4 linked regions of the Lonchura striata genome follow. The protein of the gene in region 1 purifies or fractionates together with the protein of each later gene. This does not show direct contact. Links are inferred from orthologs where the notes say so. Each region holds a gene or a part of one and is shown in the gene's direction. Other genes may lie near its edges.

Region 1 (7,113 bases):
CTAACCTGGGGAATGTTTACAGCTCAATAGTGCCACACGCAGAGGCTCGGGGAAAATGAGTTGGTGTTTTTTATGAGCTCTCCTCTCATTCCTGGTTCCTCCGGCAGCACAGATAAATCATCCCCTTTGAAATCATCCCCTGGGAGCAGCCAGGCCCGGCAGCCCCACGCTGAGCCATGCTGAAACAAGGCAGGAATGAGCACGGAGCATCCGAGCCGCTGGGAAATCCCAGGACTTCATTTATTCCCAGTTAGAGCCGGTCGCTGCGGTGCCAGGGGCTCTCCCAGCAGGGATCCCCAGCACCGGGAGCAGCCCTGGCTCGGCCACAGCTCCCTGCACAGCCAGCAGAAGGTGCTGGGCTGCCCAAACTGCGGGGAGGAAAGCTGGCTGTGGATAAACACCAGCACTGAGGAGGAGGAGGAGGCTGAGCGGGAGGAAGAGCAGCTCCCACAGCTGGGAAGGAGCCAGGAGAGCTGGGAGCAGCTCCCAGCCCCAAGCAGGATGAGCTCAAGCGACATGCCGGGACAGGGATGGGCTGAGTGGGACATGGAAAAGCCACCAGAGCTGCCCAGAGCCACTCGTGGAGGCACGAGGGACACACAGGGCTCCTGGCACCTCAGCTGTGAGGAACCCAAAGGCACGTGGAAAACTTCCCATCCCTCTGGAAGCTCTGGCACAGCCCAGTGACTCCATCATCATCGACCATCCTCCTCCTCAGAGGGCTCCTCACCCTCCCACTGCCTCAGGAGCAAAGCTGACTGCGCAGGCTTGGGGGCTCAGCTGAGGATTTCCCAGTTTCTGCAGGAAGATGGACTTTGTGGGCTCCCCAAAATCCCCACTGGCAGCTGCCAAGGAGCCTGGAGGCCGACTCTGATTTCTGCAGCTGGGAAAGTCCTCCCAGCACCTGCATTTTGGATTATGTTGCAACAGCATCAGGCCCGAGGCAAAGGGAGGAGGACACAGGTGGGATTCTCTGTCACTGCCCAGAACTGGAAGCAGATGTCGACCAAAAAAAGCTCCAAACCCTTCCAAGGCACGGAGCTCACAGGTCCCTGCACTGCCTCTGCCTCCAGGCAGGCCCAGTGTGGACTGAGAGATGTGCCTGAGTCAAAACACCCAAAATTTACATGGAAAACTTCTGCCTGAGCAGGATCTGCAGGGTTTACCCACGGCTCTGCCATTCCAGGCGCAGGAACCTCTCTCCTGTTCTCAGTGAGACCTGGGAGGATGGGAAAAGGCAGGATGGGGAGAACCAAAGGGATTTTGTACCTCGGGAGGATCTACCTTTGCACGATGTATTTTAATGTTCCTTCCAGCTCCTTCTCCACCAGCTGCAGGGAAGAAATGCAGGATTTCCCTGTGATCCATGTTGGTGCCCAGGGATGCACGCTGGGATGATCCCAGGACAGCCCAGAGCTGGTGCCAGAGGCACAGCCACAGCTCCTGAAGTACAGCGATCACAAAATAAATGTTTTATTTTAGGATCACAAGGTGCTCAGGCAAAGATCCAGTGCTGAGTCAGAGCTACAGCTGACTAGAGCGTCCCCTACATCCTCCACAATAAATAAATGGGGTTTTTTGGGGAAAGAATGCCCAGGGCACACTTGAGAAAATGCTTGTGCTTAAAAAAAAACGTAAACAACTGTTTCCCCCCTTTCTGAAATATTTTCTCTCTGTTTTATTATCTTTTAAAAAAAAATTTCATGCTCCCAATGCTTTCAAAAAGATATTCAAAAGGGTTCAAATATTTACTCTGACCACCTGAAAGATTTTCTCCCACTGTGTTTTTATTGCGCCAAATGCAAAGAAAAACTTTTTGGTTCAAATAAACTTGAAACAATTCCTTCTCCTCCCCCTTTCCCTCCCATATTTTGGTTTAGCCAGCGAGTGGAAAAATCAATTCTTCGCACTCCTCCAGCCCGACAAAAAGCTTCAGGACTCCACAAAGAGGCTCTGGGGAGCAGCTGTGCTGTACAGCAAATAAACCTGCCTCAGTTTCTCTGCTTCCTCTGGGTCACCCAGGACTTCGTGCTGAGGTCGGCGCTGCTGGGGTGACACAGGCAGTGCAGGGGCCAAAGAACCATCACTGGGGAACTAAAACATCCTCCTGGTGGGACCTCAGATCTTCATGGGGGACTAAAACATCCTCCTGGGGGACATCAGATCCTCCTGGTGGGACCTCAGATCCTCCTGGGGGACATCAGATCTTCATGGGGGACTAAAACTTCCTCCTGGGGGACATCAGATCCTCATGGTGGGACATCAGATCCTCATGGGGGACATCAGGTCATCTTTGGGACATCAGGTCCTCATGGGGGACATCAGATCCTCCTGATGGGACATCAGATCCTCATGGGGGACATCACATCCTCCTGGGGGAACTAAAACATCCTCCTGGTGGGCCATCACACCCTCCTGGCTGCCACACGTGTCTGGAGGCAGGGCCTGAGCCCGTGCCCACCCCACGGTGACAGACAGCCCAGGGGACAGCACCGGTGCCCCCGGTAGCCCCTGCCCTGCAGCTCCCAGAGCCACAGTGCCTGCAGGGAACGAGGTGGGAAGGACTGGCAGAGATAAATAATGCTGTGATTTCTCAGGATGCAGTCTCCAAGCATGTTTGTGGTCCCGGGGTTTTTAAGGGTGAATTTATGTATAACTGCAGTGGAAGTAGGGTTTTTAAAGCAAACTACGCATTAAAATAAATCAAGATTAATTTCTGGAGCCTTTTCTTTCCAGCCTCCAGCTGGCTGCTGTGTTTGCTTCAGCCCTGTAAAATCTGGGAGGAAAGCAGATGAGGAAGGAGAAGCTGCAGAAGAAGGCCTGAGAACCTGTGTCACAGGAATGTGACACTCGGGGCCAGCACTGTGACAGCTGCTCTGGGTCACGTCCTCTTGTAAAAGATTTCAAGGAAATGAAGGTGAGGAATGCAAAAAGGTGAAGACGGGGATCTCTGTGTTCCATTAAACAAACTCAGCCCAGGTGAAACCTGGGTGGCCTCTCCAAGCTCAGCCCAGATGGAGCCGGAGCCTTTCCCCACCAGGAGTCATCGAATTTGGAACGGTTTAGGTTGGGAAGGGCCTTAAGGGACTTAAAGCTCCAGTGCCATCCACCCAGTGCCACCCCTGCCATGGGCAGGGACACCTTCCACCATCCCAGGCTGCTCCGAGCCGCGGCCAGCCTGGGGACACTTCGGGGATGCAGGAGCAGCCACGGCTTCCCTGGCACCCGTGCCACAGGGAGCCGTCGGATCGTGCTGCTCGGGGCTTCTGGCCCCGGGGCTCCACCAGCCGCTGGTGCCGATGCCGGTGCCGGTCCCGGTGCGGCGCCGATGCCGGTGCCGGTGCCGGTGCCGAGCCCGGTCCCGGTGCGGCATCGGTGCCGGTCCTGGTCCCGATGCCGGTCCCTGTGCCGATGCCGGTGACGATGCCAGTCCCGGTCCCGGTGCCGAAGCCGATGCCGGTCCCGGTCGCGATCCCGGCGCCGATGCTGGTGCTGGAGCCGGTCCCGGTGCCAGTGCCGATGCCGGTGCCAATGCCGGACCCAGTGCGGCGCCGGTGCCGATGCCTGTCCCGGTCCCGATCCCGACACCGATGCTGGTCCCGGTGCCGATGCCGGTGCCGATGCCGGTGCCGGTGCCGGTGCCGGTGCCGATGCCGGTGCCGGTCCCGATGCCGGTGCCGGTGCCGATGCCGGTGCCGGTCCCGATGCCGGTGGCGGTGCCGATGCCGGTGCCGGTGCCGATTCCGGTGCCGGTCCCGATGCCGGTGCCGATGCCGGTGCCGGTGCCGATGCCGGTGCCGGTGCCGGTGCCGGTGCCGGTGCCGCCCCGTCCCTCGCTGCGGCTCCGCCCCGTCCCCTCCCGTCCCGCCGCCGTCCCCGCCCGCCGCGCTCCCGGTGCCGCGGGGCAGCCGCAGCATGGCCGAGCTGCGCATCGCCCCGGCCCCGGCCCCTCGCCCCGCTGCTGCCCCGCTCCCACCGCCGCCCGCAGCCCCGGCCCCGGCCCCGTCCCCGTCCCCGGCCCCGGCCCCGGCCCCGGCCCCGGCCCCGGTCCCGACCCGCCCCTCGGCGCCCGCCCCGGGCCGCCCATAAAAGCGGCCCCGCGCCCGCCCCGCTCCGCCGCCGCCGCCGCTCCGCCGCCGGCCATGGCCAAGGACCAGCTGAAGCCGCGGCTGTGCCGAATGCTGAAAGGGGAGAGCGGCTACGGCTTCCACCTGCACGGCGAGAAGGGCAAGAGCGGCCAGTTCATCCGCAAAGTGGAGCCCGGCTCGCCCGCCGAGGCGGCGGGGCTGCGCGCCGGGGACCGCGTCGTGGAGGTGAACGGGCTCAACGTGGAGCAGGAGACGCATCACCAGGTGCGGGATGGAGCGGGGCACACGGGCACCGGGGCCGAGCGGGGCCGTGCCCGCTGCAGCCTCCCTGCGGCGGGCAGAGCGGGGGTTTCACCCAAAATATCCCCGCCGGAGCATCCCCGGCCGGGCAGCGCTGGGCTGGCCGCAGCGGTGCGGTGGATGCTCCCCCGAAATGCCGGGGCCGGGCTTTGCGTGGCCCGGGATCCGCAGCTCCGTGCGGGGTCGGGCTGCGGGCGCAGGACGCTGCAGTCGTGTCAAGGTGGGGAAGGCGAAGGTGTGCGGGGCTGGGCAGGGCTCTGCCGCGTTATGCAATCTGTGGTGGAAAGGAATGGGGAGACCCGGGCTTTATTTCCGGCTCTGCCGTGGGTTTTCTTGGCTGCTTCGGGCGAGCTGCGCCTGCCTGTGCAGCCCCGAGTGTGGGAAGATGCCTGAAAATCTGCAGATAAAGCCGTGCAGATGTTCGGCAGTTGGGCTGGCCGGGGAGCGATAGGGCTCGGAGGGGAGCCGTGGCTCTCCCTGACCACGCTTGGGCAGGTCCAAGGCTGCCGTTTCTCTGCTCTCCAACAAAAGCTGTTTCGGGCTGTGGCATTTTCTCCTTGTAAAACTGAAACTTGGATTTGTCAGACAGTTTAGTCTAAAAAACCCAAAAAATGCGGAAAAAACAAAACAGCAAGCAGCGAGGTTCGAGCTGCTCCAGTCCTGCTGGACACTCGGAGCCTGGCAGGGGCACAATTTGCCTCGTGGTTTGTGGAGCTCTGCAGGATTTGGTGTTTTAGTAACTTAAAACATCTGCTCAGCCCCGCTGCCAGCGCTGCATGGGGGCAGAGCTGGGATGTGCCGTGACCCCACAGAGTTTTGGGGGGCCGTGTGTTCCCAGACCTCACTCCAGGTGTGCATGTTGCCGTGCTGGAGGTGAAACAGCCTTCCAGGTGGCTCCAACAAAGCCTGGTGGACTCCTCTGGATGAGCCTGGTGGGGTTTGGTGGCGAGTTGAGCTTGTTTTGACGCTCCGAGCCAGCCGTGTGAAAGTTGATGTTTGTCCTGAGTGGGATTTCAAACCCCTTGAAGGAGGATCCCCATCTTTGATGTGGCTGGCCAGGAAGGAGGGCTGGGTTCCTGTGGTGCCTTGGAAGCCACCAGAGCTCCCTGCTGGCGCTGGGCTGCTGGGGACGGGCGATAGCGGAGCCAGCTGTGCCTTTGAAACGTGCTGGGGCTTCCCAGTAGGTCAAGTGAAATGGGAGGGGGAAATTTCCATTTCTTCCTTTTTGTTTTTTCGTTTGTGTTTTTGCTGCTGGCGGCAGGATGGAGCGCTGGCACTCGCTGGCTGCTGCAGAGCAGTGATTGGAACGAGGTGTCCCCATCCAGGGTGTCCAGGAACTCGCCCGGTGCCCGCTCTGGCTGCCGTGGCATCTGAGAGCGAGAGTGCAAGCGCTGGGATCACCCTTTTTCCTGCCTCAATACCACAAGAACCTCTTCTTCCCCCAAAACCTCGCCAGCACTGATGGGCCGTGGCGAGGGCGATGCCCTGGTGGGTCACACGGTGGCTCTGAGCAGCCACCTCACCTTGGTCCTTCCTCGTGCTGCTCCTTGCCCAACCTTGAACAAGTAACACTTCTCCATGTGCCCTGGGGAGCCCGCAGCACACAAGGCCTTGCTCTTTGGGTGTAACTGTGTTTCCAGCCGAAGCTGGCAGCATTTTTGTCTTTGTTCTCTTGGTTTTTTTTCCTGGCCTTGCCCAAGGAGCGAAGGCAGAGCGTGCTCTGTCTCAGAGTTGCGTCCTGGGTTCCTCGGAGCCGGGCAGAGCCGCAGCTCCTGAGCACAGAAAGGTGCCCGGGGAGCCTGGCAGGATGGAGCAGGGCACGGGCACCTCTGCGGGAGCTGCTGCTGGCACCGTGAGTCCTTCCTGGGCGCTGCCGTTTGGCGAGGGTGGAAGGGCCCGGGGCTGGCGCTGCCGGGCTGGCGCTGCCGTCACCAGGGGTAAAGTCTGCTCGGGTGGGGCTGCGGAAATCCTGGGGCTGGGTCGGGTGCTGAGGAGGTCCCAGATGAGCAGGACGGGCTGCATTGTCTCCAGAAGCCTGCGGGACTCCAGGCTGGGAGCATGGCTCGGAAGCGGGTACGGTGCTGGGCAGGAGCTCGCCGGGAGCTGCTGCTTTGCCCCCCACCTCTCTGCTCTGTCCCCAGGGAGACCTGCTGCCTTGGGGGGCTCCTCACAGCCCCTTCTGCTCATCCTGCTCGTGGGGAGGGGGCAAGGGGCTGCTCTGTGCCACTCTCCACCCCTGGCACTTGTACCTTTGCTCCATCGCTGCTCTCGCTGTGGCTGTTGGGGGGCTCGGCCGTGGGGTGAGCCCAGCACTGCTCCACGCCAGCTTTGGACCCTTCTGTGGACCCTCTGAGCATCTCTGCGGTCTGTGGGACCCCTGTGATCCCCTGTGCTGCCTGCAGCACCCGAATTGTGGGCTCTGGGGGATGGCACTGCAGGGCCAGCACCTTCCCCGTCCGCATCTTTGCTGCCGAGCTTTGACTGCTGCTGCTGCCAGGTCCCCTCGGGGAGAAGTGCCCCTGCCCGGGCACTGCTGGTGCCAGCAGATGTGAAGGGATCTGAGCGGGAGCAGATGGATTTTCTGGGCCTGATGGATCAGCCCCTCCAGGCTGCTCGGGGGTGGGCTCCCGGGATCGCTGCAGTGGATGGCTTAGCTCAGCCCTGGCTGCAGCCTGGACATTTCTCGCAGGCTGGTTTTTTTTTTTTTTATTATTTTGTTTGCAGA
Region 2 (7,463 bases), about 800 kb from region 1:
TTGAAATAGTAGATAGTTTTTCACCATTTCAGCAGATGAGAGCTAGAAGCTTTCTTTCCAGGTTGTGCATGTGTTGTGCATTTTAGTGGGGCCAACCTATTGTCTTGGGTAGAGAAGGAGGTGTACAATTGTGCAATTTTTGTACAATTGATTACTTGACTTTTTTTTTTTTTTTGTCTCATTGTGTAATGAGATGTCAATTCTATTTCTGGTCCTTGGCCAAATATTCAGGAGCTCTGGAAAAACTGTAAGGAGTTGAAATACAGATAATAAAGTAATCTGGTCAGAAAATCAAAGCCAAATATTGATACAAAAGGGAAAATACATGGTACTTAAAGCATATCTATAAAATGAAAATATTTTTCATATCAATCTTCTTTATCCTTTTCCAATTATGGCTGGTTTTGTGGTCAAACATTTCTTGTCATGTTACAAAGACACATCTTCCTGTGTGCTAGAAAAAAAACTTCCCCAGTGGTATTTTCTACAAGTTTGTGTTCCTAAACCTTGCAGAGGAGAATGACCTAGGTCTGGACAAAGGCATTCCTTCCTTGTTTTAAAAGCAGTATAAACATCGCACTTACTTATTCACTCATTGCATATACCATTACTTTGCATTTTGAGTTGTCATACTATGATATTTGACAAAAAGCACATTTATGATGTGCTTTTCCTTCCACCAAAGAAAGGTTTCTCTACAATGTTGAAAAAACTCATAGGCTACTGTTCTCTAGAAGCAGTATTTTAAGAACAATAGCTTATCAGATTTCTCAGAAAATATGTGAATGTAGAATATTTTCTTTTACAGGGTGAAGGAGATTTATTATTGATCTCTTAAAAACTGTGTTATGTGGTTGAACTTGATGGCAGTTCAGCTTTTCCAGTCTTTAAAAGAGACAGTGCAGTTGCCTTTTCTTTTGGAGCAACTGCATTCCTGTAGTCTTCTGTACCCACCACATATGGAAAACTGAGAGAAGCAAATCCCTGGCTTACTGTGTCTGGTGTTAAGGGGGAGAAGGGGTCCTGTAAATGGCTGAGGAAGACAGAAAAATGTTCCCTTTGCATCATGAGAAATTCCATCACATACAAAGTATACTCATCACTCAAATTTGAATAGCATAGTGTACCTTTGATCTGTGTCTGTAGTGAGTTATACATGCTGTTCTAACCAAGATAACATGTATTTTAAGTCTGTTGCAATGCTATCCATTTGTTCTCCAGCTGTCAAATTCCAGCCATGTATTGTGTCCGCTGGAGACAACCTTACTGCTTTTGGATTTAGTCTCTGGTATTAAGATCTAGACAGACATATTCCCAACTTAATACAGGAGAGTTTGGCAGTGATGGAGAGTCACAGTGCCACTGCTGTTCAGTGTGACAAAACTTGACATCACTTAAAAAGTCTGGCAAAATTACCTCCATTGGCTTGTTAACGAGGTAGAGATCTAGGTGTGCTTAAACATGTTTTCTGTAATATTTAGATTTTTAGTGATTTTACCATAGCAAATTAATTATGGTTTTTGACACCTTGGAAATCTGTCCATAGGCTTTCATCCTGCCCACCAAAAGCTTTCAGCCAGCCTTGTAAATCTTGGTAGCAGTAAGCTGTCAAGAAGGTATCTGGAATGCTAATGTCTGCATTCTAGAAGTCCTTTTTTCTTTTTTAATTGACAAAGCTGTTATTGGAAAACTGTAAGCATCTCTTACAGGCATCACTCCATTTAGAGCTTCAGTATTCCTAATCCAGTCTTACATAGTTACTGCTTTTTTGGGAAAGAGCTAGAACTTTCCTGGGAGAGATATTTCTATTTCTTGGACTATGTGTAGAATCTGTGGGTTTGAAAAGTGACAAGAGTATAGAGTGAGGCATCACAAAGCAATTGTGGATTCAAGTATGTTTTACCAGTTTGTCCACTTAAATGTGTGTTGAGAAGTGCTGCATACCATGAAGGGCTGGTACCCATTTTAAATTTTTATACTTGATGTGGGGTAGAATCAGGTCTTTGTCCTGAAGATCACTCCTGTGGCTCATGGGAGTTCATGGAATGAAATGTGCAAGGGAGGTTCTTCAGAGCTGCACATAGGCCAGGTGATTTTTCTGCTTTTAATCCAAGGTTTTCAAAGCAGAAAAAAATTTTAGGTACTTGAAGACTCTTCTTAAGATTTCTCCTTACTGCATGCCTTCTGAAAACCAAATCTGTTGATTCATTCCATCTCTTGAATTTCAACAATTGTCAATCATGTATGAAGAATCTGGTCAATAATGTTGTAATTTTGCTTTGCTTAGTATTTGAACTTCAGAAAGGTATTTATTCCATCTTTTTCTTTGGTGTGGAGCTCAAAAAAGGATGAAGTACTACTGCCCAGTCACAAGTTAAGGACTACTTCAATAAACTGAGAAATCAGTTTGTAACCATTTGCCTTAAAGTCCAGTTTTGTAAAAGTTTTGTATTAAGAAAGAGTTACTTCAGATGTGATGTTGAGGCATTGTTAGCAGACTGATATTGCCTATTACAGTTCCATTTGCTAGGCACTTAGTTGCTGAAATGATCAAATTATCAGTACTGTGCTCTACTTTTCTCCTTCTGATGTGATTTAATTGTGAGGTATCTGCTATATACAAGTCTGAAAAGAATTGTGGATTGAAACAAAGATGTGATTATTCTAATCAGCTTTCATAGTTCAAGATGCTTAATTCAATGTGTTTGATACAATTGTTTTTTGTGCTGGGAACTTTGAAGAATTATGGGAATTTCCCGCCTGTACATTTTCTTCTGAATGGTTTAGTAAAGTCAAGACAATTACTTCATTTGGCCTGTGGAAAAAACATTTGATTTCAACACCTTGCTGAGGAGAGAACTTGTGTAATAGTTGCCTAAGGATGTGGCCTCTGGATGGATTCTGATCATTCTTTCTACTAGTAAATTGCACAAATAGGTGCAGTATTTTTATCTGAAATTTTGCTGAATGCCTGTAATGCTTCATGGAAATATTTTATGAATCAAGTGGAAATCCTCCTGCAAAGCCTCATGATGCAGATTGTTTATCAGTTGATCAAGTGAGCTTACAGACAAGTAGCTCTGTAATCCAAAATGGCATGTTTTCATTTATGACTGATAATTTCAGAATGTTTCCTCTTTCATAGAAGAAATTACCCTTATGCAATAAACAGTTGGAGAGGTTCTTAAACACCCAATAGCCTCATTTTAGCATAAAGAGAATCTATTGAATTAGAAAGATTCAAGGTCATCAAGTCCAACTCTTGGCACTGCACAGGATTCCCCAGCAATCCCACCATGTGCCAGACACCTTGAACTCAGGCAGGCTTGATAGTGTGCTTCCTGGGGAGCCTGTTCCAGTATTCAGCCACCCTCTGAGTGAAAAACCTTTTCCTGACGCCTAATCTAAAGCTCCTGTGATCTTTTCCTGACACCAAACCCTAAAGCTCTCAGCTTCATGCCATTTCATCAAGTCTTGTCCCTGGTCAAGAGAGAGATCGCTCTGTCAGCTGGGCCATGAATGTAGATGATTGCCATTTGACAAAACTTCCTATGGCCATGTACTAACAGACTTGATGTGGTGAATGTTCGAAATGGTAGCAGAACTGAAAACTATATCTGATAAAAGAGAAAAATTAGGATTGAGGAACCACGATCAGTTTTGATATTGTATGCTGTTTTCAGGTTGGTGGCAGTCAGCTACACATGTAATATTCTCTATGTGGTTTGTAGCTGTAACTGTGATGTACAGAAAGAAAAGAAAAAACCCACCCCAAAGAAACAAAACCCCTGACCCCCACTCAGCAAACCACGAAACAATCTCCCCTCTTCCAGGACTTGTGAAAACAGAAGCAAATAATGCAATTATATGATACACACTTTTGTATTTTTATTCTTCTAAGGTTATTTGCTGGCTCTTGTTGGCCTCTAGTTCAGTCTGTGTTATTTAAATTCTAATATATGAATTATTTGGATTGAATTCATGTTCGGGGCCATGGTGTTGTATGTATTGATGTACAGCCTTGAATGTGAATAATTATTGTAAACTATATTTTACACCTTTTTTCTGGCTTTATTATATAAATTTTCTATTGGTCGATGATTTAATCATATCTCATAATTTAATGACTGTTTATTCTCCTCTCGACAGATCTCTGTGCTGTAGATGTGTAGTTAGTGACTGGATGACGGATTTCACTTATGCTTGGTAGTCTGTAATAAAGGCATGTAGGGTTCTGCGCGGCCTCCGCCTCTTCCTTCCGCCGTGGGGCGAGGGGCATGGGGTAAGCCGGGCCGCGGCCGTGTGGCAGCCGTGACCGCTGCTCGGGGCCCCACGCCGGCGCCGCCGGGGCGGTGGGCGAGAAGGGGCAGGCGCTGCTCCAGCGGGCGCTTCCGGTGGGCGGCGCGCCGGGGGCCGGGCGGCGGGGCGGCCCCTTCCGGCGGCGGCGAGGATGGCGGCGGAGAACCACTGTGAGTTCCCGGTGCCCCCGGCCGGCGGCCTCGGCGCGGGCGGGCCCTGCCGTCGGTGTAGCTCGGCGCCGCTGCCCGGCGCGGGGCCCGGCAAGTGGGTCAGGCTGAACGTGGGGGGCACCTGCTTTCTGACCACTCGACAGACGCTCTGCCGGGACCCTAAGTCCTTCCTCTTCCGCCTCTGCCAGGCCGACCCCGACCTGGACTCGGACAAGGTGAGCGCGCGCCCCGCCGCGCCCGCTCCCCGCTTCGGGCTCGCTGCCCCGCCGCCGGGCCCGCTCCCCGCCGGCCGCGCCGGGGCTGCGCTGCGGCTGAGCCCGGTCCCGCTGTGCCACCTGCCTGGGCGGCCGCGGCGTGAAGGGAGCGCGGGGCCCGGCGCCGCGGTGAGGGGAGGCAGGAACGACTCTGCTGCCGTGGAGGGAGTCTTCCTTGAAGAGTTTTGCTTAATGAGTGATGTCGTGCGAAGTAGTTGGGTTCGTGAATAACAAAACTGCTCATAAATACAGCAGACAGCGTAGTGTCGTTTGTACATTTGTGTAATATTTTTATGTTGTCTGATGGGGTTTAGTTTTAGCGTTTTAATGAAATATCTGCATGCACTGACATTGTGTTATTTCTGCACTGTCATTATTCTCTTGTTCAATTACAAGAACCAGAGCAAAGGACTTTTGATAACAATCTCTCACTTAGACGTAACATTGTCTTTTAAGCAATTTTTAGAGAAAAAATGTTGCATATTCTGCATAGATTGCAAGTAGTGGGTGAATATTTTGGTATTCACTCTGATTCAATTTTAGTAGGGGAAGAAAGTTATTGAGATTTTATTTGTGATATGGTATGTAGTAATGGATATAAAGTGTATAGTCCTGGCTCTGAAAGAAATTTTGAAGCATCATGGACAAAAAGCCATTTTCCAGTACAGTTTGGGAAAAGAAAGGAACAGCTTATAACTCTGTAACCAACAGGTTGAAAATAAGGAGTTGCTTATTATATGTAATTTTTTTTTCCAGTGAGGTTAGTAGATTTCATCAGTTTTTCAGGTATAACTTTCAGAAAGGATATTTGAACACTTAACATAGGGTACAGAATGTAATGTTCCTGAGTTAGAAGAAAAAAAAAATTGAAGTGTGGTGGTATGGGAATGTTTTTAGTTGTCTTTGGTTTTGGTTGAGGTTTTTATGGAGAGCTTAAATTAACCTATAAAACTAAATTTAAAAATCTAGGTGGCTTGCTGATAGGTAAACTGTCTTTGTGGGAGAGTAGGAAAGCATTCCTCTAAGGTTTCCTAATTAAAAGATAAAGCAATGCCATATGCTCTGGCAAATGGGAGGGCCAACTGTTTCCTGCACTGTTGTCCAGCATTGCCAGCTGGGCAAGGGAGGGGATTGTCCCATTCTGCTCTGTTTTGGGGGCACCACAATATCAGAGGGATCTAAGGCTCTTAGCATCTGAAGGAGGAACACAAAGTTTCTGAAGGGAAAGACATATAAAAAAATAGCTGAGGTCACTTGGCTTTTTCAGCTGAAAAGAGGAGGCTGAGGGAAGGCTCATTGGTGTCTGCATGTTCTTCTTGAGGAGCAGTTTCAGTCTCTGTTCTGGATCTGCCAGGATCCAAGGGAACAGCATGGAGCTGTGTCAGGAAGGTTTATGTTGGATATCAGGAAAAGGTTCTTTCCAAAGAAGTTGGTTGAGTACTGGAATAGGCTTCTCAGGGAATGGTCATGGCCCCAAGCCATGAGCTTGACAAAGCTCAGGCACATGGTGGGAGTGTTGGGGCTGTGCTGTGCAGGGCCAGGAGTTAGACTTGATCCTTGTGGATCCCTTGCAACTCAGGATATTCTGTGATTCTGTGATTTACTTGCTTGCTTGTAAAGAACAGAGAGGCTTCAAAAAAGGTAGCATGTTGGCCTTTAAACTGCCTTCAGGTACTAATGTTGAGTAGGACAGAGCAGCCTGTCTCTTGGCTGTCAGGTATGTTTCCATTTGTAATGGGAGAAAGATTAATCTTTGGCACACCCTGTGACCAAACTAGTATTGAATGGATTAGAATAATGAAATTGACTCTCTGAATTCAGTATGTTTCACAATATTACTCACAGCTTTAAAACTGTTTGAGAAGCATTTCAGATTTCAGAAAAAAAATGAGCAGTAGTGGTCATATTTACTTTTCAGAACAGGATTTGTTTTCCATGGTATTTAAATCTAAATGGTTTAGAGATGAATACATTAAAATAGACAAGCAGAGCCTTGATCACCTTGTCATCATTGTTTAATTTAATGCTTTTACTGCATTACTGCTAATAATTTACATGTATTTCCTTGTTTCAGCATCTTCCTTTTTTAGCTGTATACCAGTTTTTTCTTTGCAAACTGTTCTAGCATTCTTTTAACTTTCCCGTAAGAAGGAGATTGTCATACTTTTGTATAAGGTTTTGGCAGTAGTATTCATGCTTAATTTTTAATGCCTTTTTAAAGTTGGCATAGAATCTGTCAAAGAAGGAAGCATGCAAGCACTGAGTGGTTTAGAAAAATCAAAGTCTTCGTGGTAGCACAACCTTGACTGTCAGCATTAAGAAATATCTAAATTGTAGTCATTATTCTAAGACGTAACAGATATATTTAATTTGTCCATGAGATTTATGAGTTGTCAGGTGGGTTGTGTTACTTACGTAGTTTTGATAAGTACTATTAGTCTGCAAACACTCAAAGTTTTTAGGCCACACAGTTTGTGAAAATTCACTAGTTCAATATTTAAAAAGCACAGATTATAAGGATGACAATTATATATAAATTCAAATTTAGTACCAAAACCGACTGTATTTCCTGCATATTGCTGCCTTTATCAGAACTCATAATATGTAAATTATGTAAAATTTTTAAATTATGTAAAATCAGAATATTCATGTTAGAGCATACAGCCTTGAGCCAAGAGCTTGATGGTATGACTTGAGTGTATCCAGATCCAGTATTGATCCCAATGAAAATAATTAATTG
Region 3 (7,717 bases), on another chromosome or scaffold:
TTAAAATGTGACTGTTGAAATATTTAAATTAGTCTTACTGAAAGGATACTTCACAATAAGTGTTGCTAAATGTTAAGAAAACTTAACCTTTTTCCTTTAAAAATCACTGATGTCACTAGTGTGCCACTAAAGGGGATTATGGAAATAGGTCTAAAAATAGCATTTCCCCTTCATTTCCCCACTCACCTGCAAAAAACCACCAGGAGTCAGTTTTGAAATTTATAGTTTGACCCAGATGTAGGTCTTAAATCCTCTAATGAAGAGGATGAAATGCTGTCTTTAATGCAGCATTCTAGGAGACCTCAAAAGATATTGACAAATCATCATATAGGTTGTGTCAGAACATTTTAAACTAAATGTGTGTGCACCTCAGTTCTCTCTGTTGGGAAGCTGAAGCTTAATTATTCTTGACAAGTGAAAAAGCTTCCTTTAAAAAAAAAATAGGTGCTTTTTTTCAGTTTAGTAAATCTGTTGTAACCATGTTGTAATAAAATATGGATATTGGAGACAAAAGTGCACTTTGTCAGCCTTTTCTTCAGTTTCTAAATGTTTCCAGATCCTTAACAGGCATGGTACCAATGTTAAGGGAGCAGTAAATAGACCTTAATTTATGGCAAGGAGGGTAATAATAGCCTTGTGGAAAATCAGGGTGCAAATGAAATTGCCAGCTGTATACCTTCCCTTGATTGCAAGTTCTGTTTTATTTATAGCACATTATTGCTTACAGATTAATACCAGTATGTATACCAGTGTATAACAGAACTCCTGAGTAGCATGTTGAGATTACCAAGAGCTGGTGGGATTTTGTGGTGAGTAGAATTTGAAGGGGGAATACACCCAGGAATTGTGGTACTTAGTACCTGCCCTGGAGACAGTGTTACACAAGCAGTGTGCATTAATACAAGCTGTTCTCAGGGCATTTTGATTATTATAGTTAGCTATTGATGTGCTCTCATAATGTTGGAACAGATCAAATACAATCCAAATGCATTAACTGTATATATAAAATGAATTCAAAGATAATCTAGCATTTTTATCTCTTGGCTTCTGAGAGGGTACTAACTTGCATTTCCTTTTTCCAGTTGCAGCGACTAAAAGGTGGCAGTGCAGCAGTGGATGTGCATTGGAAAATCAAAGGATAACAAATCACAACTGATGCAGCCTGGCTTTTGAGTGTAGTGTTGCCCACCATTTTCTAGAGGATTGTGTAAGCATTCAGGAGTTGCCTTTGAAAGTAGCACTACCGATCTCTTGGATATACATAAAATTTCTGGTGGAAGCGAACCGCTGTCTGCCATAGTTCGCACCTTCCAGCAGTGCAGAGTGAGCTGGTTTGTTGCTCGTTACACACACATCCTAGCAGCAAAATACTTCGGTTGGCTTTTATGTCTGTGCTTGCCATTTATGCTGATAAAAAGAGCAGGTTACACAGAAGTGAGTCTTAGTCCTCTTGAATACAGAGGACTTCACCAAGAAAACACAGAAAGTTCTGCTTTATTACATTAACAGTTTTGCCCCAACCTTCTGGATTGAGAAGAGGGGAGTGTTGGTGTACTCAGACAGCGTTAGTGATGAATGGCCAGAATAATGAAGTGTTCCTCTATGTACACTGGACAGCAGTACATCTCTTGGGAGTAGGTGCTTCCTTCAAAACTTTGTATTGATTTTGATGTATTTTTCTCTTACATACATATTGATATGCCAGTGTATGTGACTGGAATCCTCAGGCACTGGTATTTCATGTAGAAAAGCCATGAACAATCATGAATAATAAAATTTATACTGACTTCATAAACCGATCTCATTTAAACAACCCTCAGTTCATAATGAGTAGCTAAAGAAGAAAAAGCATGTATACCTTGTCTAGAGATTTAAACTTTATGTTTGGGGTGAGGATATTGCTTTGAGCCTCAATTATGGGCTACAGATTCTAGGTGTAAATCTGTATAACAGATTGGTAGAACTGCAGTATTTCCCAGGGCAAATAAATTTACTGTTAACAAGTATTATGGGTTTGGGGTTTTATTTTCTAATTTAAAAGAAAAACATATTCTTCTCAGAGGCACTTGGATGGTAGTCAAGATTACTAGTGTTACATCTTGGAAGGTTATTGTTTCAAAGTGTTCTCAGTATCTCTTCTGCAAGGAGGAGGGACATTCTGTACTGACTCCTTTTACAGTACTCTATTAGCTTACAGTGTTGAGCACTGCTGTTCAGGCTGAACTGGATCATCCTACCTAAAGTGTAATGCCAAATGGCAGCTACTGTATGATTCGTGCCTGCCTAAAATCCTAATTAATGAGAATGTACTCTGATCTACAGTATTAGCTCATGGACAGAGTCAGACTTTGTTGTTGAAAGCTACCAGTTGAAACGTATCAATAGATTCTGCAGCAGACAAATACTCCAGTGCCGTTCTTTGTGGTTGAATGTTTTCCCTCTGCTGGAAAAAAATAATGAATTACTTAAGTATGTGTGACTTCAAGAAGAACCACTCAAAAATGGTTTCTGAATATGTGACTGCTCATCTCTTACCTTGCTCCTGTCACTGTGCTGTCGTGATGTGTATGCTGCCAGAGTCACAGGTAGTTGGGTAAAGTCACCCGCTTTTAAAACACTGTATTATTTACTCATCACTGATATAAATCAGGCTGTAAATAAGGTTTTTTAACTAAGTTGACTCTGCAAGAGATGATTGATGATTTGCTTGATTTGTTGCTGTCAGCAAGTACACAGAGGTGAAGCCTTTCCAAAGACCAGACCAGACACTGTTCCTTAGGGGCTCTACCTTAATACCTTGGGTTTGCCACAGAATTAATTTTGGTGTGGAAGTGGGTAAACAAGCTGGAATGTGTTTAGAAAGGATTCTAAAGGATGTGAGGTTGGGTATGAAGTGACTAATCAAAAACTCCATAAATTTTTGGACTTAATGAATATTCGTATCTGCAGGTCTTTCAAGCAGCTGATAAGTGTTCAAGATGTGGGAAGTATTTTCATTTAATTGTAGTCGCAGACATCTGCTTGGCTGTAGCAACTGCATGTGAAATAATCGTAAAACTAAACCCGCCCATCTATACCAAAGGTTTCCTTTAGAGGAGGAAGTAGGTGCAGTACTTCAGTGTTCAGGTTTGTGACACACTGACTTCCATGAAACAAGTATGCAATTCTCTCAGTGTTGGAAGTATTTCTCTTTACATCAGAAACTGCTGTGTTCTGATGAGGTGTCTTCTATATCTGAATGCGTGTCCCCACTGATAAATAAGCATTAGTAGTTGTCTTGGCTACCTACAGATTTGAAGAAAGATTTATGAAATTATGGATAATGTATGTATTTCCTTCTGTAAAGCAGTAGCGTTCATGACAAGTGGTAAAGAAAGCCCAAAGCAACTGAATTGCCAACGGGTCATAATTTTGAAATATTTTGCACACATAAATTTGTGTCTCACCAAAGAGCAGTGAGCTGTGATTGAGCTGTAACCCACTTTTTCCACAGTGCCTGCAGACATGTGTTAAGAGTATTTCCACACTACAGAGACCTGGAACTCATCCCAAAGTCCTGAAAAAGGTCAGAACTGTGTCTAAGCCTGAAAGGACAGTTCTTATTTACTGGTAGCTCTTAAAAGTTGTCCTTAGGTAGGTCCCAGTACCAGTCATAAGACTTGTAAAGTGGAGGCAAAACCATGCACATTTACTGTGTACAGTTTATCACTGCTGCTCTGTTTTTCCCGACCCTTTAAATCATAAGTAGTTTGGTAACACTGGGTTCTAGAAAGCTGCTTTAAGTAACAGGGTAGGAATTGGCTGAGTACATTTGTAACCAAGAAATTCTGGTCTCTAGGATACTTTGTTCCTGTTGGATTCTTCAAGCCATGATGTTCCAGCTTCATCAACAGAATTGCTTCATTTTCCATCTGTTCTGGTGAAAGGACGGTTATAAAGATGACTGGACTTTTCTGACTTGCTGTGATATGTAGTGGTGGTTAATGCTGCCTTGGGCAGGGTGGAAAACTACCTTCACAGAGGATCCTGAAGTGGTGGTAGAAAGGGACATCTTAATAAGACAAGTGAAATAGTTGGGAATTTTATTCTCAGCTTTGGATTACTTAAATTTCTGACCTTTTTGAAGTTATCCAGATAATTGTTTTGAGAGATGATCATCTTCCAAATAACCATTTTGGATTATATGTGGACTTCTGCACAGCAGTTGAAGAGAGGCATTATTTATGTGTTAAATATATGATCAGAATTTATTTTCAAAAATCAGACAATGGAAAATAGAAAATTACTGTAAAAGGCAATTTTAATAGCCACACAAAGTTGAAGATCTGTATTTAGTCCTACATTCCTCCAAAACATCACCATTTTGAATTCTGTTTTAACACTGGAAATACATCATTATTTACAGTGTTAAGAAATTTATTTCTTTGGGCAATAACCTTAAGTTCAGACCAAATTTACTAGGTGATAGGGTGCCAGCTGCCACAAGGAGGAAGTCCCTATGCGAGATACTTTTGGTGTAATAACTATCCATATAAAATACTTGCATCTATAATAATTTTGCAAAGATGTAGTTAACAATCTGCTTTCCCTGTCTCCTACTGAGTGCTAGAAACTATTTTATTTTGACAACAGTTTTGTACCTTAGATAACTTCTTTTAGTTCCTAAGATTTGGTTTCTGTAGCAAGCCAAAAAAAAAAAAAAAAAAGTAGTTTCAACTTGAGCTGCAGCAGGAAGATGTAATCACGGATGTGGGTTCCAGTACGCTGTTGTATAGGGGAACAGCTCTCAAACAGCAGAGCTCTCCACCATGAATCCAGAAGAACAGATTGTAACGTGGCTTATTTCACTAGGAGTCTTAAATTCCCCTAAGAAAATAGTGGATGATCCAGAGGGGTTCCTGAAAACTTCTCTGAAAGATGGAACTGTGCTTTGCAAACTCGTTAATCGGCTTCTTCCGGGATCTGCAGAAAAGGTAATGTTTCCTGATGTATTTCACTACGTTGAGACAGAGCCCTGCTCAATGAAACCCTGCCCTGGGCATTCTGAGGCCCAGTAACTCTAGTGAGAGGGCAAGGAGCTTCAGAGAGAAATGTCACATTTAAGTTCCTAATTGAAAGCCAAGTATGATTGTAGCTTTGGTTCCTGGATTTTGTTTCTACATCCAGAAAAAAAAAACCCTGCAAGGTTGCAGCTGACTCCCTTACCCATGTTCAGTCAGTGGCAGGAAATACTTGGTTTACCAGAGATCAGAATATCTTGATTTCGAATAGAAGGATATGCAGTGTGTCAGTGTTTATACATCAGTATAATTAATTACAACTGTAAATACATTCACTCTTTCAGAACTCTTACGGCAAAATGCTTTGTTATTTAGGAAATGCACTGGAGAAGCAGATTGGAACAGGAATAAGCAAATAAGGCTTGCATCTGTGCTATTTGGTCTGTCCCAAGACCAGCAAATCTCTTGGTACTGAAACCATGTGAATGCCGCCTGTTATAGTTTGACAAGGTGTGTATTCACAGTCCAGAAGTGTGATAAGAATCTGAAGGAAAAAAAAAGGGAAGGAGTCCAATGAGAGATAGGAACTGGCAACACAGAAGAGAAGCTTTTAAAAAAGCAACTACTCAAGTTTCTCCACCCTATAAAAAAGGAGTCTTTCATTATGCAGAATTCAGTTTTGCTAGCTCCTTATCTTTTTCTTACTTGGGGTGGTTCAGGGCAGCGTGTTGCTAAAGGTCATCAATCTCCCACTGTCACTTACAGCACTGTGGTATGTTGGCATTCAAAACAAGATGCCGACAGCTTCTATGTGTGCATCACTTCCTCCAGTGGCTTTCTTCCTGCTTCAACAGCTTGCCTGCCACCCCCACCCGCCCTCTGAAGAAGCTTCCCTAATTCAGTATAAAAGGCACATGTCAATATTCATGCAGGCCTTCTCAGTACTGGCAATGCAATGAGATCAGTGGATTTTCTTTCTTTAGTATTGCCTGGAGCCTAAAAATGAAGCTGATTGCATCAGTAATATTCAAGAGTTCTTGAAAGGCTGCACACTTCTGAAAGTGGAGGTAAGTCAACTTAGATCCTTTATTTTATTGTAACATGCCAGTTTGATCAGCCTCAAAGGAAACCAGATACCAGAGGGAAAAAGTTGGTATCAATTCATCATCCTTTTTATTAATATAAATCAGAGCATGGATGATTTAATATTCAGTCTGGGTATTTTGGAAACTGTACTAACTGTGAGCTTAACAGATTCTCATATTTTGAGACAAAACATGCAGCAATAACAGGAGGTCTGTCTAAACAGACTTCAACCTGGACCTGTTAATAATATTTTTTTCATTATTAGAAGGAATTGCAGATACTAGCCATGCTTTCATGGGAAGGTGAAGTATTCTTAATTCTGCACTATATTTTTCATCCCCTGCAGCTGTTGTGTAAGATTCTGCCAAACATATATTAAATTGTTCCTTACACAAAAAAATAGTCCTAATGAAGTGAAAAGATACCTTTCTTGTGGCTGCTCCTGATCCTATCTGTGTCAATTCTTATGCTTAACCATAGCTCATATTTGCAATATCAGATTATAAGTGAATCACTTCAGAATTCAATTAATTTTGCCATCAATTTTTTTACTAGCTAAAGACTTTTGTGTCAGACTTAAATTCCTGCAGTAAAAACAAAACAAAAACATCCTGCTGTAACTGTCTTGTTTGAAATATGCTCAATATTGTGGGGAAAAAAAAAAATTTCTGAAGACAAGTCTGCCAGAAGCAGGGACAGAATCCTTGGACATTATACAGAATATTCATGCACCACAGTGAGAAAAGTCCAACCCATAATAGCTCTGTTGCTGCATTTTTTTCCTTTGAAGGTCTAAACAAGAAAAGGGCCTTTCTTCTCTTTAGAGCTTTTTAGCTAAGCAGCATAAAAATGTGCTCATTCCAGAACTGTCTCCCTGGTCTTTTGTTGCCCAGTGATGCATTTCTTGGAGCCTGTTGCAGCAGCACAGTCTTAAGAGCATATATATAGTAAGAGAGATTTATAATCCCTGAAGGCCTATTGCATCAGGAGTCAGTTGTTGCCAGTCTTCTGATACTGACCATGTGATTTCCTCCGTTTTTCTGAGTTTAGTTTTCTGTTTGCAAACTAATAATAAAATGGTTGTGCTGGAAGGTATTTTAAAAAATGGGAATCTTAAACAGCTAAAAGGTAGGACAGGGGGACAGTCCTCACCTGTTGTGCAGTGCCATCTCATAACTTTGAAGCTCATTCTGTAATATTGCAATCACACTCCACAATTTTTAGATACTCAGAACAGGCAACGTGGCATGTCCATCTCCATCTCTGATCTTTCATGTGCCTTTTCTTCTTTGGCTTTAATAATTTCAAGGTTTCTGGCTTCTTTTTTCTTATTTATAACCCATTTCATCAATGAAATATTCTGAGCCTTCAGTAGCTTCCCTTATGCTCATGTGTGCCTTTCCTGTTTGCTGTGAGAGGAGACTTCAAAAGCTGAATAAAAACTTGAACCTATCTAGTTCAAGTTTAAATTTTGCAGTGCAATGACAACAATTTCTTCTTGGTTTTTTTTTTCTTTTCCAAAATATTGTCGTATTAGAGACCAAGTGAATACATGAATTTTGCTTTTTCCTAGCTCCTCTCTGTAGCCTCATGCAGAAGGCTTAAGGTAGGACAGCTGAAATGGTGGGCAA
Region 4 (6,951 bases), on another chromosome or scaffold:
CTGGTCCCAGTTTGGGAATGAACCAGTCCCAGTTTGGAAATTAAACTGGTCCCACTTTGGGAATGAACTGGTCCCAGTTTGGGAACTGAACCGGTCCCAGTTTGGGAATGAACTGGTCCCAGTTTGGGAATGAACCAGTCCCAGATTGGAAATTAAACTGGTCCCAGTTTCGGATTGAGCCAGTCCCAGTTTGGGAATGAACTGGTCCCAGTTTGAGATTGAGCCAGTCCCAGTTTGGGAATGAACCAGTCCCAGTTTGGGAATGAACTGGTCCCAGTTTGGGAACTGAACTGGTCCCAGTTTGAGATTGAGCCAGTCCCAGTTTGGGAATGAGCCAGTCCCAGTTTGGGAATGAACCGGTCCCAGTTTGGGAACTGAACCGGTCCCAGTTTGGGAATGAACCAATCCCAGTTTGGGATTAAACTGGTCCCAGTTCCGGATCCCGCTCCCGGAATTTTCCCCGGATCGGGATTTTGGGTTCCCGGGATCGAATTTCAGGCCCCGCCCGGGGGCGGCTCCCGGAGGTTCCTCGGAGGAATTTTCCCCTTCCCGGATTTCTTCGCGAGCCTCCAACTTTTAACCAAAAAAAAAAAAAAAAAAAAAAAGGAAATTTTGGGGATTTTTTTTTTTCCCGCCGGGAAGCGCCGCTGGAAATGGGAATTTCCCCCCTGGAGCGCCGCGTGCTGATCCCAGGTGAGAATTCCCGGAATTTCATCCCAAAATCCCCCTCGGAGCCTTAAAAATGGGGGAGGGGGAATTCCCCGGGAGGGATAAAAAAGGGAAAAAAAGTGAGATTTTTGGGTTTTTATGGAGTTTTCCCGGTTTTTTTTGGTGTTTTTTTGGGAGGAGAATTCCAGCCAAATTCCAGGGGTTTTGCCCCAAATCTGTGCGGGCCTGCGAAGGAGTAGGGGAGGCCCTTTCCGGGTTTTTTTTCCAGGAAAAAATGGGAATTTTAATGGATTTTTAAGGGATTTTGGGAGGGAAGGAGGTCCCGAGGGAGGACGGGGAGGGGAATTCCCAAAGGGGAGGGAAAATCCCGGAAAAGAGGGAAATTTCCTCAAGGAAAAACCCCAAATCCAGGGGGAAAACCCCAAAATGCAGGGAAAAAAACCTCCCCAAATTCAGGGGAAAACCCCAAATTGAGGGGAAAAAAACTTTAAATCCAGGGAAAAAACTGAATCCAAGGGAAAAAACCCCAAATGCAGGGAAACATCCCCGAAATCCCGGAAAAAAAAAACCCCACTTAATTTCAAGGAAGAAAACAAAAAAATACCAGGGGAAAAAATCCAAAATCCCATTAAAAAATCCCCCAAATCCAAGGAAAACACCTCAAAATACAAAGAAATAACCCCAAATTCAAGGAAGAAAACAAAATCCAAGGAAAAAAAACCCAAATCCAGGAAAAAAATCACAAATCCAAGGAAAAAGCCCCTCAAATCCAAAGAAAAAACTCCAAAATCCAAGGAAAAAACCCAAAATCCCGGGAAAAACCCCAAATTCTTCCCAAATTCCCGCCCCCATCCCGGAATTTTTTGCAGAACCGCTGGAAAAGGCTCAAAAAAAAACCCCAAAAAAACTTGGAAAAATGCAAAAAGTAGCAGAAAATTCCTTTTTTTCCCCCCTTTCCCAGAATTTTGGGAACAAAGGAATTCCTGCAGCTCCCGGTGGATTTTTGTGGAAAGAATTCCAGGCGGGAATTTTGGGAATTTGGGGTGGTTTTAATCCCTTTTTTTTGGTTTTTTTTTTTTTTTTGGTTTTTTTTTTTTTTTTTTTTCCCCTCTTGGAATTGTTTGGATTCCCGCGGGAATTCCAAGGTCGGGCTGGGAATGTTGGGAAAAGCTGCGGGGGGGGGGGGGGAAATTTGGGATTTCCCCGTTTTTTTTCCCCAGGATTTTTGGGCTTCTCCAAGGGTTTTTTGTGGTTACATGGGGGGGAAATTTGGGAATGAATTTTCAGTGATTTGAAGACGGGGGGAAAAGAGGGAAAGGGGATTTTTATGGGATTTTTATGGGAATTTTCTGGGATCTTATGGGATTTTATGGGATTTTGTTGGATTTTTTGGAGTTTAAGGAATTTTATGGAATTTGAGAGATTTTTGTGGGATTGGGATGGGATTAAAAACCCCTTTTCCTCCCAAAAAAATCTGGGAATTCCAGGATTTTGGCACTCCCAGTACATTCCAAAAGCAATTCAAGGAAATTTGGGATCAAAGGTGAAAGGAGGGACATCAAGAATGGGAAAATTGAGATTAAATTGGGATTTAAACGGGATTTTAAAGGAATTCCCATCTTGAAAACTCCCCCAAAATCTGGGAATTCCTCCCAGATTTCCTTCTGAGCCCCATCCCATCAACTCCAAAATTCTGGGATCAACAATTCCCAGCTGGAATCAGATCCAAACATCCCAAAAAACCTGGGAAAAACCACCCGGAGCAGCCTCATTTCCTAATTTCCCCCCTCCTTTTTTCCCCTTAAAATTTCCTAAAAATCCAATTTTTTTCCTGATTTTTGCGGGGATTATCCCAGATTTTCCCCTCATAGCCTTGGGAATGTTGGGATGCAAAGTCCATCCCAAGGAACAATGGGAATTCCTCGGGAATTCCTCAACTCCAGGGATTTGTTTGCCCAAGGAGGAGAAACCGCCCCGGAAACTCTGGAATAAAAAAATCCAGGAAGGAAAAAACCTCGGGATGGGAGGATCCTGAAAATTCCCGAGTTTGGGATTCAGGGGAGCACAGGTGAGCCAGAATTTGGGATTTTTTTCAGAATTTTGGAGGGCTTTCTCCCCAGATTTGTTTTTTTTGTCCTAATTTTTAGAGTTTCTCCCTAGTTTTGGGAGTTTCCCCCAGTTTTGGGTTGGTTTTTATTTTTTTAAATTTTGTGGTGTTTTCCCAAATTTTTCCCCATTTTCCTCCCTTTTTTCTCATTTCCCCCCCCCATTTTACCCAAAATCTTCACTTCCCCTATTTTCCCCCAAAATCCCCATTTTTCCCCCATTTCCCCCACTTTTTTTCCCCCCCATTTTCCCCATTCCCCCATTTTTCCCCATTTCCCCCCATTTTTCCCCATTTCCCCCATTCTTTCCCATTTCCCCCATGTTTTTCCACCCCCCCCATTTTTCCCCCAAATCCCCATTTTCCCCATTTTTTCCCCAAATCCCCATTTTCCCCCATTCCCCCCATTTTCCCCATTTCCCCCCATTTTTGCCCCAAATCTCCATTTTTCCCCATTTCCCCCCATTTTTTCCCCATTTCCCCCACCCCCATATATATTTTTTCCCAAATTCCCAATTTTTCCCCATTTCCCCCCATTCTTTCCCATTTCCCCCATGTTTTCCCATTCCCCCCCATTTTTTTCCCCCAATCCCCATTTTCCCTCATTCCCCCCATTTTCCCCATTTCCCCCCATTTTCCCCATTTCCCCCCATTTTTCCCATTTCCCCGCATTTTCCCCATTTCCCCACATTTTTCCCCCAAATCCCCATTTTTCCCCATTTCCCCACATTTTTCCCCCATTTCCCCCACTCCCCATCTATTTTTTTCCCCAAAATCCCAATTTTTCCCCATTTCTCCCCATTCTTCCCCATTTCCCCACATTTTTCCCCCATTCCCCCCACCCCCCATATATATTTTCTCCCAAAATCCCAATTTTTCCCCATTTCTCCCCATTCTTCCCCATTTCCCCACATTTTTCCCCCATTCCCCCCACCCCCCATATATATTTTCTCCCAAAATCCCAATTTTTCCCCATTTCCCCCCATTCTTCCCCATTTCCCCACATTTTTCCCCCCATTCCCCCCACCCCCATATATATTTTTTCCCAAAATCCCAATTTTTCCCCATTTCCCCCCATTCTTCCCCATTCCCCCCCATTTTTCCCCCATTCCCCACCCCCCCATCTATATTTTTCCCCAAAATCCCAATTTTTCCCCCCAAACCTCCCGGCAGGCCCCCCGCCATGAAGCACTGCTTCTACAACGAGACCGTCGGCTTCTTCTACAACAACAGCCGCAAGGAGCTGAGCGCGACATGGCGGCCCAAGGACGTGCTGGTGGTGGCCCTGGGGCTGGCGGTCAGCGCCGTGGTGCTGCTGACCAACCTGCTGGTCATCGCCGCCGTGGCCACCAACCGCCGCTTCCACTACCCCATCTACTACCTGCTGGCCAACCTGGCGGCCGCCGACCTCTTCGCCGGCGTGGCCTACATGTTCTTGATGTTCCACACCGGGCCTAGGACCGCCCAGTTGTCGCTCAAGACTTGGTTCATCCGTCAGAGCTTGCTGGACACCAGCTTGACCGCTTCGGTGGTCAACCTGTTGGCCATCGCGGTGGAGCGGCACCGGACGGTGCTGACCATGCAGCTGCACAGCGAGATGTCCGCCCAGCGCGTGGTGGGCTTGATCTTCTCCATCTGGGCGGCGGCGTTGCTCCTGGGCTTGATCCCGTCCTACGGCTGGCACTGCCTGTGCTCCTTGGAGAGCTGCTCCAGGATGGCGCCGCTCTACAGCCGCAGCTACCTGACCTTCTGGGCCGTCTCCAACCTGGTGGTCTTCCTGGTCATGGTGGTGGTCTACGGGCACATCTTCGTCTACGTCAGGAGGAGGATGGCGCGCATGGCGCGGCACACCGGCGCGCACCCGCGGCACCGCGACACCGTGCTGGCGCTGGTCAAGACCGTCACCATCATCCTGGGTGGGTGGCTCGGTAGGGGTTAATTGGGTTGGTCATCGTCATCCTTGGTGGGTTGGTCATCGCCATCCTCAGTAGATGGTTAATTAGTGGTAATTAGGAGAATTGGGTTGGTCATCGTCATTCTTGGTGGGTTGGTCATCATCCCCAGTGGGTGGTTAATTAGCAGTAATTAGGGGTTAGTTGCATTGGTCATCATGTCATCCTTGGTGGGTTGGTCATTGTCATGCTCAGTGGGTGGTTAATTAGCCATTAATTAGGGGGTAACAGAGGTGCGCACCCGCGGCACCGCGACACCGTGCTGGCGCTGGTCAAGACCATCACCATCATCCTGGGTGGGTGGCTCGGTAGGGGTTAATTGGGCTGGTCATCATCATCCTCAGTAGATGGTTAATTAGGATTAATTAGGAGAATTGGGTTGGTCATCGTCATCCTTGGTAGGTTGGTCATCATCATCCTCAGTGGATGGTTAATTAGCGGTAATTAGGGGTTAATTGTGTTGGTCATCGTCATATTTGGTTGGGTTGGTCATCATCATCCTTGATGGGTTGGTCATCATCATCATCCTCAGTAGATGGTTAATTAGTGGTAATTAGGAGAATTGGGTTGGTCATCGTCATTCTTGGTGGGCTGGTCATCATCATCCCCAGTGGGTGGTTAATTAGCGGTTAATTAGATAACAGAGGTGTGCACCACGTGACAGACACCGTGCTGAATTTTATCCCGGAATTCTTTGGGCCATAAAGAACCGAAATCCCATTCAGGAAGTGACCGAAAAACACCAAAAATTCCCATTATTTCCCCCTTTTTCCTGTTTTTCCAGGTGCCTTTGTGCTCTCCTGGATCTTTTTTCCATCTTTTTTCCATCATCTCATTCTTCTCCCAATATTCCCAGGGGGATTCCATGGAATTCTTCCTGGAATTCTTCAGGCCATAAAGAACTGAAATCCCAGCCAGGAAATCACCAAAAATTCCCATTTTTTCCCCTTTTTTTCCCGTTTTTCCAGGTGCCTTTGAGCTCTCCTGGATCATTTTCCCTCAAAGATTGAAATCCATGGGGATTCCATGGAACAATTTCATCCCGGAATTCTTCGGGCCATAAAGAACCAAAATCCCAGCCAGGAAGTGACTGAAAATTCCCATTTTTTCCCCTCTTTTCCCACTTTTCCAGGTGCCTTTTGTATCTCCTGGATATTTTTCCCATCTTTTTTCCCTCATCTCATTCTTCTCCCATGATTTCCTACAGGGATTCCATGGAACTATTTTATCCCGGAATACTTTGTGTTGAAAATAACTGAAATCCCATTCAGGAAGTGACCGAAAACCACCAAAAATTCCCATTATTTCCCCCTTTTTCCCGTTTTTCCAGGTGCCTTTGTGTCTCCTGGATCTTTTTTCCATCTTTGTTCCCTCATCTCATTCTTCTCCCAATATTCCCAGGGGGATTCCATGGAATTCTTCCTGGAATTCTTCAGGCCATAAAGAACTGAAATCCCAGCCAGGAAATCACCAAAAATTCCCATTTTTTCCCCTTTTTTCCCCGTTTTTCCAGGTGCCTTTGTGCTCTCCTGGATCTTTTTCTCTCAAAGGTCGAAACCCATTGGGATTCCATGGAACAATTTTATCCCAGATTTCTTTGGGCCATAAAGAACCGAAATCCCAGCCAGGAAATCACCAAAAATTCCCATTTTTTCCCCTTTTTTCCCCGTTTTTCCAGGTGCCTTTGTGCTCTCCTGGATCTTTTTCTCTCAAAGATTGAAATCCATGGGGATTCCATGGAACAATTTCATCCCGGAATTCTTTGGGCCATAAAGAACCGAAATCCCAGCCAGGAAGTGACCGAAAAACACCAAAATTTCCCTTTTTTCCCTTTCCCCCCCCGTTTTTCCAGGCGCCTTTTGTGTCTCCTGGATCTTTTTTCCATCTTTGTTCCCTCATCTCATTCTTCTCCCAATATTCCCAGGGGGATTCCATGGAATGATTTTATCCTGGAATTCTTCAGGCCATAAAGAACTGAAATCCCAGCCAGGAAATCACCAAAAATTCCCATTTTTTCCCATTTTTTCCCCCATTTTTCCAGGTGCCTTTGTGCTCTCCTGGATCTTTTTCTCTCAAAGGTCGAAATCCATGGGGATTCCATGGAACAATTTTATCCCAGATTTCTTTGGGCCATAAAGAATTGAAATCCCAGCCAGCAAATCACCAAAAATTCCCATTTTTCCCATTTTTTCCCCCCGTTTTTCCAGGTGCCTTCGTGGTGTGCTG

What was found.
Region 2: the proteins of NHERF2 (region 1) and KCTD5 purify together in Homo sapiens (affinity purification with mass spectrometry; 3 studies listed by BioGRID and IntAct, with this or other methods). This does not show direct contact. The link is inferred for Lonchura striata from reciprocal best matches to the Homo sapiens genes NHERF2 and KCTD5.
Region 3: the proteins of NHERF2 (region 1) and ARHGEF6 purify together in Homo sapiens (affinity purification with mass spectrometry; 3 studies listed by BioGRID and IntAct, with this or other methods). This does not show direct contact. The link is inferred for Lonchura striata from reciprocal best matches to the Homo sapiens genes NHERF2 and ARHGEF6.
Region 4: the proteins of NHERF2 (region 1) and LPAR2 purify together in Homo sapiens (affinity purification with western blotting; 3 studies listed by BioGRID and IntAct, with this or other methods). This does not show direct contact. The link is inferred for Lonchura striata from reciprocal best matches to the Homo sapiens genes NHERF2 and LPAR2.

The regions. Positions count from the first base shown.
Region 1 is NC_134618.1:16,765,798-16,772,910, forward strand, and holds the start of NHERF2 (Na(+)/H(+) exchange regulatory cofactor NHE-RF2), read left to right. Parts: upstream 1-4,102; 5' UTR 4,103-4,142; coding exon 4,143-4,352; intron 4,353-6,317; exon of another isoform or gene 6,318-6,446; coding exon of another isoform or gene 6,447-6,461; intron 6,462-7,113.
Region 2 is NC_134618.1:17,567,657-17,575,119, forward strand, and holds the start of KCTD5 (BTB/POZ domain-containing protein KCTD5), read left to right. Parts: upstream 1-4,450; coding exon 4,451-4,684; intron 4,685-7,463. UniProt on the Homo sapiens protein: Its interaction with CUL3 suggests that it may act as a substrate adapter in some E3 ligase complex. Does not affect the function of Kv channel Kv2.1/KCNB1, Kv1.2/KCNA2, Kv4.2/KCND2 and Kv3.4/KCNC4.
Region 3 is NC_134616.1:184,282-191,998, reverse strand, and holds the start of ARHGEF6 (rho guanine nucleotide exchange factor 6), read left to right. Parts: upstream 1-4,710; 5' UTR 4,711-4,808; coding exon 4,809-4,973; intron 4,974-5,983; coding exon 5,984-6,067; intron 6,068-7,717. UniProt on the Homo sapiens protein: Acts as a RAC1 guanine nucleotide exchange factor (GEF).
Region 4 is NC_134623.1:1,985,919-1,992,869, forward strand, and holds the start of LPAR2 (lysophosphatidic acid receptor 2), read left to right. Parts: upstream 1-3,947; 5' UTR 3,948-3,956; coding exon 3,957-4,689; intron 4,690-6,932; coding exon 6,933-6,951. UniProt on the Homo sapiens protein: Receptor for lysophosphatidic acid (LPA), a mediator of diverse cellular activities. Seems to be coupled to the G(i)/G(o), G(12)/G(13), and G(q) families of heteromeric G proteins. Plays a key role in phospholipase C-beta (PLC-beta) signaling pathway.